Drosophila melanogaster: one gene and its partner. The protein of the gene in region 2 interacts with the protein of the main gene of each other region in a pairwise test. Each region holds a gene or a part of one and is shown on either strand. Other genes may lie near its edges.

Evidence for each region.
Region 1: the proteins of mam (region 2) and N interact in a two-hybrid assay, tested with the Drosophila melanogaster proteins (5 studies listed by BioGRID).

The regions. Positions count from the first base shown.
Region 1 is NC_004354.4:3,133,351-3,137,927, forward strand, and holds the start of N (notch), read left to right. Parts: upstream 1-1,519; 5' UTR 1,520-2,317; coding exon 2,318-2,477; intron 2,478-4,577. UniProt on the Drosophila melanogaster protein: Essential signaling protein which has a major role in many developmental processes. Functions as a receptor for membrane-bound ligands Delta and Serrate to regulate cell-fate determination.
Region 2 is NT_033778.4:13,989,294-13,994,224, forward strand, and holds the start of mam (mastermind), read left to right. Parts: upstream 1-1,909; 5' UTR 1,910-2,199; intron 2,200-2,684; 5' UTR 2,685-2,811; intron 2,812-4,931. Other genes in the region: RN-tre (uncharacterized protein), read right to left, coding at 1-331, 392-543.

The DNA.
Region 1 (4,577 bases), on a different chromosome or scaffold from region 2:
TTTTGCACACAAACAAACAAAATTGAAATTGAATTGAAAACTATATTTTTACGGGATGCTACAGTATTATTGCAATTTAATCGATAATCCCCAAGCCGCAAAAAACTAAAAACAAAAAGATGTCCAAATATTGGTGATTTACGAGTAAAGTGAATAAAATTAGAAAAACCACCAACATATATATATATATATATATATATAGTTCCCACTTTCCAACTTTTTGATCGGGTTTTCAGTGGCACAGCATTTCAGCATCCATGTGAAAAGTTGAATATTTTTTTGTCTAGCCCTAAGCGCGTAAATGATATTTGAACTTAAATCAATTATGTAAAGAAGCAAATGAAATATTGTATATCGTATATATATATATATATATATATATATAGAGCATAAATGTGTATGTCAACGCTTGAATTAAAAAATGACTAGCTAAGATTAGAGAGAATGTTTGTAATTTTTTTTTTTTGTCTGCCTAGTTTAGGTTTAAGCCTATTTATAGACGTAAATGAAGAATTTTAAAGGTAAAAAGAAAAACTTAAAAAGCTTAGAAACAATTTGTAAAACATTTGAGCGATCTACCAAAAAAAAAAAAAACGCAATTAAGTGTAAAGCGTTCAATTTTTAACACGAAATGCTGCCTTATGATTCCTCGTTGGGTTCTTAATTCACTAAGCCAATACTGTAATTAATTAACTAATTTATTGTTTCATATTTTATTTTTTGTTTCTTTCGAGAATATACATATGTATGTATTTATCTAAAGTAATTCTGAAAATGCTTAAAAATAATGCCCGTTCGTTTAAACTGATTTATACACTCGAATCTAATTCTATTCTTTCCGTGGGCCAATTGCGCCGAGCTTTTTAACTGGGATAGCGTTCCGAAAATCGGAGATAAGTATGGTGTTACATATTTTTTTTTGTTTTCGATAATTGTCAAACGATTCAATTAAGCGTTCAATTATATAGACGTTACACACGAAACGAAATGAAATTCAAATGAAATCCTATTAAGCCAAGTAAAGTATGATAATTGCAGGAAGCGGAGTTGCGAAAAAAAAAGGTACGGAAAATGAAAACTAAGAACGTATTGCGGGAAAACCTAACTTAAGTCGAGAACAACTCAAATTAGTTGAAATAAAGATACGAGAACAAAAGGAAAATAAAATACTTAAAAAATGCTACAAGTGCGTTTTTCAATCAAATTTATGCACATTTTTTTCCAGTGCCTACGAATTTTACATTGTCGAATTTTACATTATACATAGCGTAATTTCTACGAATCTTACATTGTCGAATTTTACATTTTACATAGCGTAATTTCTACATACCGCTATGACGGCACTAAAGCGCCATTCGGCGAAATGGGGAAACTACTCATGCAAGCGGCTCGGAGCCCGGCTAACGTTATTTGTTCACCAACCGATCTCGCAACGCTGCGAAAGAGCGCGCTGCCAAAATGGCTCCCCGCCATACGGTATCTTTTTCTTGCACCGACGCGGTCACACTGCCGATTTGAAACAGATCGCTTTTTTCCAGTGGACGAAACGGTTGTGAAAGCGGACGAGCGTTAGGCAGACGAACCTGGAAAGCGCAGAGCACAGTTCTCAACATTTATTTTTTTTTTGAATGTGTGTGCAACAACGCACGTAAAATCGCGCTGCCAACAGGATATACAAACAAATCAATTACACAGCAAGCAAATGCAATGAAATGAAAAGGATGGCCCCAGCGGGAAAGCCGTTCAGCAAGAGCAAGGAGTGCCTGTCGCAGGGATAGCAACGAGAGAGCGACACAGAGAGCGAGAGAGAGAGAGGGAGAGAAACAAGGATTTTCGAAAAGTGTATCTACCTCGAGTCGCGCGTGTGTGAGAGTGAGACGAAAGCCGAGTGCAAGAAGCGCAAGAGGAAGAGAGCAATACGCAAGCGTGCGGCGTCGGTTTGAATTTGAATTTGTGGCTCGATCCTCGCGAAGAGAAAAGCAAGCAAAAGATACACGAAAAGCGTTCTTTTTTTGCCACTTTTTTTTTATGTTTCAAAACGGAAAATGTCGCCGTCGTCGGGAGAGTGCCTCCTCTTAGTTTATCAAATAAAGCTTTAAAGTCTGAAGTTCAAAACTATAAAAAACAAAAAAAAAAACAAAAAAACAACAAACGCGCTAAAACAAAAAATTGCTTAAACTACTGAGACTAGCATACTAAACCTAAACTCGCAGTTAAACATATCCTCAAAGAGAGACCAAAGAGGAGCGCTAAAGAAACCGAGAAGCGAGTAGAGGTGAAAAACTGGAAAAGTGGTTAACTGGAAAACTGGATTACAATGCAATCGCAGCGCAGCCGACGTCGCAGTCGCGCACCAAACACTTGGATTTGTTTTTGGATTAACAAAATGCACGCCGTTGCGTCGCTGCCGGCGTCGCTGCCTCTGCTGCTGTTGACGCTGGCGTTTGCGAATTTGCCAAACACCGTTCGCGGAACTGGTGAGTAAAGCGGAGACGCCGATCAGAACAACTAGGCGGGGGGAGGGCAGGGTGACAGGCGGGGTCGCCCGAAAATAGGGTGGGTGCACAAACTGGAATTCCAGGAGGCTCAAAACGTTCCAAAACGCTTGCCAAAGAACGGTTTTTTACAGAACCAAAACTATGAGATAAGATGATCTTGTATAGCTGAAAGATGTGGATCTCAACTAATAGTACTGAATCGCATAATTGTTTGGTCTTAGATGTCAGTTTTAAATGGAGCATACTTAGTATGAAACAACTAAAATTGCAATTACAAAATATACATACATTTGCATTGGACTAGTTCCGCTTAAACCCGTTGGATAGATCGCTACATTGCATAGCTAGGAAATGTTGGTCTATAAAATCGGATGCATTCGCAACACATATAAGTGACTGAGCAAACCCATGCAACTGTAATCCAAAAAGGAAGTGATGCTACTTAATCTGCTTAATAAGCCTATAGGATTGTTGCAAATCCTACCTTAAAGAATTTCACTTTAAACGCAATCGTCGGAATCCGCTCCCAAATGCGTTCTCTGTGTTTCTCCATTCCCTTTTCGATCCTCTTCGTTTGTCTCCCTTTTGGGCAGCTCCTCTTCGCTCTTCGCCTTCCTTTTCATGGCTTGTATTCACCGCGCTTCCTTTTGCGCTGTCTTCCTTGGCTTCGCTTTGTTGTCGCTTTTCGGACAGGTGGTCGTTTTTTTTTCCTCTCTCTTTCTCTCTCTCTCTCTCCTTGTTGTCTCGCTGATCTCGTTCTCGCTCTCGCTCGATCGCTGTCGCTGTCTCGCTCTCCGCCGACTGCGCATGCTCTCTCAGATTTGGAAACCCACCTTTTCGAAACAAGAAAGACCGTTTTTACCGTCGGCAAAAGGCGAGTTTTTCCATTCCCCTAGCACTCTAGGCACTCTTTCCTTTGTGTTTTCTCACTGCGCTATTTGCTCGCTAGTAGTGAGTGGCCAACTTCCTTTCCAGCTTTGGAAGCGAACTCTCCTCCTCCACACGCTGTGTTGTGCCGCATGCACATGGGGCTTACTTGGGTATTTGCATATGGAGCGGTCGTTGTCTAATCACTGAACAAACACCGAATCGTATCGGATCGGATCGGATCGGTTGTAGGTGTACTTAGGGTCGATTGCCCCAGTAAAATGTCAACTTTCCATGGAACTCGAAATCTCTTCGACGGAATTCTCGGCTCAACGATGAGAAAGTATGGGGAATGCAGCTCGATATCATAGTATTTTGAAACAAATTTGATAATGTCAGAGAATTTTTTGTTGTTTCATTATTCGAAAATCTATCGAAATCCATCAATCCATCAAACGTTTAAAAGCAATTAAATGATCATTACTAGAAATTTGATCCCTGAGCACTGGGCAACTTTATTATTACGCACTCCATGATCTCTGCTATTTTTTTTATATTTTTTAACAGCTGCAACCGAAGAGCGTTGAACTATTATGTTTATAACTTTTACCTGGGCATTTCCTGAGCTCGAGTTTCCGCCTCCTAAACTCTTTTTTTTTCTGGCTTTATTAGCCATGGGTAATCGTGTGATCTTTGCAGTTTTAGCCAAAGGAAGTTGTAGTAAAAGTTAAATAAACGGTATAAAAAAGTATACAAATGCATATGCATATAAAGGTGAAAAAAATGCTGAAAGTAGTAATAATAAGAGTGTTAATTGATGCCAGGATATATTGCAAAAACAAAAAGGGCATCCTTTGCATTCAGTTCACTTCATTCTACTACTGCGCTAAGAAAAAAGTGTTCGAAGATGGAAAAAAAAAACCAAAAAAAAAAACAAAAATCTCTCGAATCTTCATGTACATTTTTGTACCTATTAAGTTCTCACAAATTTACGCCCCATTAGCTCCAATCCAAGTTTGTTCAACTTTGTGCGATCGAACGCCTGCATTTAGCCACAAATTTAGGGTATTATTTTTTTGCAGGTTTAATGTGGCACGTAACGGTTTCGAGAAACGAGAACCAGAACCAACCACCGCATTCGATTTCATCATATATGTACACAACCAGGCGCATATAGAAAGAATGTAGTTGGAATAAACGACAGCTGGGCTC
Region 2 (4,931 bases):
AAAGGCAAGATTGTCGCGAAACTGACGATTCACATCGGCATCGATTTGTCGCGTCTCCGTGGAGTACTTCCTGGCCAGCTGCAGCATTCGGAGGTAGACGCCAGCATTGTTGTTTATCGATTGCTGGATGTCGAGCAGCTTATTCCAGGCCACCATACGCACGCGATCCGGTATGCCCTTGTAGACGCGCTTGTGCAGCTTATCCTGGGGCGGCGGCCACTGATTTAGCATCTTCATCCACTTTTTGTCCCGCTCCATTTCAATCTTGTTGCGATGCACCTCCTGGGCATCACGCGTCGACGGCAGCCGCGAGTCGTGCAAGAAGCCATATCTGTGGGAGCATCAATGGCATTATTGGGATTTTTTCTGGCGAATGATTAATATTACTCACTTGTCTGTCCTGTGGTAGATCTCGAAGGTGGGATTCTCCCAGGAGTCCACCACATTGCTGGGATCCAGCCCGAGTTCGTAGCGCCGGAAGATGTCCTCGCGCTCGTCCTCGGCCCGCTTGACCAGCGCCTCCTGCTGTTCGCCGTCAGTCATTTGGAGCAGGATCAGGATTTGGCGGGTGGGGGAGGGGATCGGGGACAGGAGCAGGAGCCGGATCCGGAGGAGCAAGTGGCCAGAGCTGGTTTCTCTGTGCTCTCAGTTGGGGAGCGGCTGCTTCTGAGCTGACTGGGCGATAGCGCGAAACTTTGATAAAAAAAAAATGGAATGGAAAAAATAACACACAAAAGCATTAACATGCGAAAGCGATCCACAATAACAACACTCGTATACTATATAGCTGATGAGCGAATGACGCACACGAACATTAACTATTGTATATATATATATATATATTCAAATGCAGTGAAATCAACATGATCTTTGTTTTTGGAGAAGGAGCGTGGCATAAATGACGTGATGTTTCACCCATATTTAGTGCAGCATCAAAACATAAAGCCATATAAGACTTGGTCACTGATCTAGAAAAACGCCCCCTGATCTGCGTTGTGTGAGTGTGAGTGGGCCAGAAATGTGTGGATCTGCATGCGCCCCCGGGTTTTTGTCGCCTATTTTAATGCGAAATGTGCAATCTTATGCTTTATCGTTCGTACACTTCCTGTTTTCGCTGCGATTTGTTGTATTTTGTCAACACAGACACATACGCACACACGTAACACACACACACACAGACGCTCCGACGAAAGAGAGTGTTCTGGCTTTCACTGGCCACTCTCTCCGCGTTCCTATGGTTGAGTTTAATTAATCGCGCCGACGTTCGTTTACCATTTAATTTTGAATTGCCAATTCTTATTATCCGCACTGATCGGTTATGTTTGGTAACTAGTTTTTCACTATTTTATCTCGGCTGCATGTTTCCGATACATTTGGGGGGCGACTGAGTGTGTGTGAGGGCCAGAGTTGCCAGACTGATGTAATTGCCGAATAACGTAACGTAACAAGAGTACCAGGGATGCGAGCCAATATTTAAGCGATACTTTAGCGTAATGTTATACGAGTTTAAATTTTAGTTGAAATGTTTGTGATGTCAATGTACAAATATGTAAAATGTTTATCTATTTAAAGCTGCAAATGAATGCTCATTTATAAATATTTAACAATGATATTTATTTACTTATTATTTAAAACCTATTCAGTTACTTAATTGCGACAAGTGGCACTTAATGAATTAAAACATTTGTGGAAAACATTTTCACTTCAAAATTTATTTCTTGATAACAAAATCGGCTTTTTAATTCAAATATAATTTTTGTGACTAAATAAGCAGTGCTGCCATACATTCAACTGGAAAACATCGTCAGCAACAGAAGGATAAGTAATCGCTTGATCGATAGCGTTATCGATGTTTTCCCAGCCATCGTTCCACCACTAGCGCCTCTCAAAACAACAAAAAAACAGCGGCAGTCGGACGCGGTTTTTATCATCGAGCGCGGTTTCTTTGTTTTAGCGCTCGAAAATTGTCGAGAACTCTCGTAAAAAATACACTGTACCAAATAACTAAGGAGTGCATGCTAATTGAACAAGCAAATGAATTAAGGTGTATATCAAAGTGAAAAGAAGTCAAACATAACCGATTTTGTTGGCGGCTTTCTTTTATTTTTGTTGAGATACCGTGTTTAATTTCTCCAGTTTTATGCAAACACATGAATAACATAACAGTGGAAATTTCTAAGAGTGCATTGTGAGATAAAAGTAAGCAAATAATTAATATTATGTTTAACATAAAATGCAACCCTCAACAGCGTCCTTTTTAAAGGTGTGCGTTTATATATATATATATATATATATATATATATATATATGTGTGTTTGTGTGTGCGTGTGAGTGATTGTGGATTTTGTGATGCAAAAGAAAATTGCCGCGTGTAAATTTTTGATTTTCAATTCGAGACGAGCAGAGGATTTTTAAACTGCAGCTCTAGCATTTACCGTTAGGGCAAGAGTAAACACATTCAACATGTTGCAGTCACTAAAAACTAAAACAAAAGCAAAGCGGATCACTCTCTTTCTCATTCTCTCATTCGCTCTCTTTGAGTTATAAGTGTTTTTGCCGTGTTTTGTTTTGATTTTTGCACATACACGAAGACATCGAGAGAGGAGAGCGGAGAGTTTCTGCTCTTTTGATTGTTGTTGCATTGGCCAGCTAATAAAATTGTGCCGTTCTTGTTGTTGTTGCAGTTGGATTAAAATTCAAAGCATTGGATAAATGCTAAGTTGAAATAACAACAGTAATAACAAATGGAAAATAGCAAATAGCAAATCAAAGGAAATCAAAATCAAGTTGGATTATCAGCACAGCTTCTGGGTAAGTAAGTTAAGTCTCTTATCGCCTAATTAGTTTATAGCGTTTTAGTTTCGTGTGGGTGGCTTTTTGCATTTCAAAACCAGTTCTATTTCGGGTTTTCATATGCCTTTTTTTCTCTTCTCATGTTGATAAGACCTTGAAGCGCTTTTCGTGTAGAACTTCGCATGATTGATGTTTTTATGTTTGAGGGGAGCTTGAGTCAAAGCTCGGCTTTTAAAAATGGATCAAGACCAGTTTTTCGAGGCTTTGGAATTGCCAAATAATTTCCTAAGCCCAAACTGCAGTTTGTTGTGGTTGTTGCTATTGCTTTTGCTTGCATCGCCTAGAAAATGATGGATGCACACACCTCTCGCTCTACCCTTGCCGTCCCTTTCGCACATCCAGAAGTTGTCGGTTGAGTTTTTATGGCCGTCTCTTTTGTCTCTCCATTTATTTGCCTTTGTCTTTGGACTGATGACTTTGTTTTTGCCCTGTCTTTGATTCTTTCTTTCTCTCTCTCTGCTTCTTCTTCAACGTTGATCCTTTGATTTCGTTTGATCCTTGTAGGTAGAAAAGATTGAGTGTGGGAGAGATCTACCGTTGTTTCGTTACTTCAATCTATAAGATACTAGAATTTTCTTTTTTAAAACCAATTCGAGAAATATTTCAATATATATTTTTGGGGAAAGAAGAATTTTAATTCTTTCGAATATTAAAGAGTTTTTTAAGATTGATTTATAAATTTCTTTTGGATCTTATTATTTGTATTTTGTATACGAAACATTCCATCTTATATTATTATCGTTAGTTTTTTGTAACTCCAAAAATCAAAATAAATATTCAAATAAAGAATTCTGTATTGCCTTTTGTTTTAATGCCATTATGCAATATATGCATTTATTGCTTAAATATTTTTAAAATTATTAACAGCATTCAGCTTATGTCTTTTGAACATTCTCCTTACCAATATCAGATGCATTCCAACCGAAATGCGACGAAGGGCATGCATTTAAACACAATACCTGGCATACTCGACATTTTAAATGCTTTTCATCACTTGATAAACAGTATTATTTGCCTTTCCTTTTTTTTTTTTTACATACATGTATCTCCCTCTGTTCGCCGCCGTTTGTTTTGCCCCCGTCTTCGCATATGTACGTCTTCGAGTGGTCTAACATGTAATGTATGCCTCGTCTTTAGTTTCTTGTTCGTTTCGTCTTTGAGACACCGGAAGTTGTTGCTAGGCTGAAAAAGTTGTGTGTGTTTTTCAGCAGTGTCTCCAGCTGTATCTTTATCTCCCTCTGGAGCCGTATATCCATCTCTATCGACGAGCAAGTGGCGCGTGTGAATGACCCAATTAAGCTGAAGATAACCCGGCCTAAGCTTCGACTTCGTAGGTGGCTTAAAACAACTCGGTTGGCCAAGAAGAAGCAGCCCCAGAACCTGCCAGACGAACATACCTACTATGGCACAACAAAAAAGAGTTCACATCGAATATATCGAATGCGAAGTTTGAACTGTAAACAGGTTTACTTGGCCTCACCTCGCTTCGTCTGCTGCAGTTGGCTGCTACAGGTTTGCCTCCGTATCGCGAACTGCGCGCCATGGAATTTCCTGTATTCATTCATTTTTGAATCCATATAACATAAGCCTTATTTCACTTAAGTTAAAAAACTACAATAAGAAGAAAATAAATGCATACCATTTCAATCTTAAAATTCTTGAAATAAAAAAAATTTCATTCCGGGTGTGAATTTGTGGATTTGATTAAATAAAAAATAACTGTAGTATATATATGTTGATGTTGAAATTTTTAAAAGCTCCTCCATTACTTTCTCCATTTAAGAAACAGGGTAATGTTTTTCTAAGGTCAGCTTATGCAAAGAATAACATATGCAGTAATCCCAGTTTAAGTTATCAACATTTCACTGTACATGGTTTAGTGTGGTGCTTTATTTTGTCAGGCCAAACTCCTTTTCAACATTTTTGTATTAAATATTTCGCACCATGTTCTGCATTTATTCGGATACGAGAGATCTCCCGAGGCTCCAGTCTTCAACTCCATCTCCTTCTGTGCGTCTGCCATCTCTGTTCGACGCTCTAATGCCGTCCTTTTCTGTGGCATATTTTGTCGTTGAGTC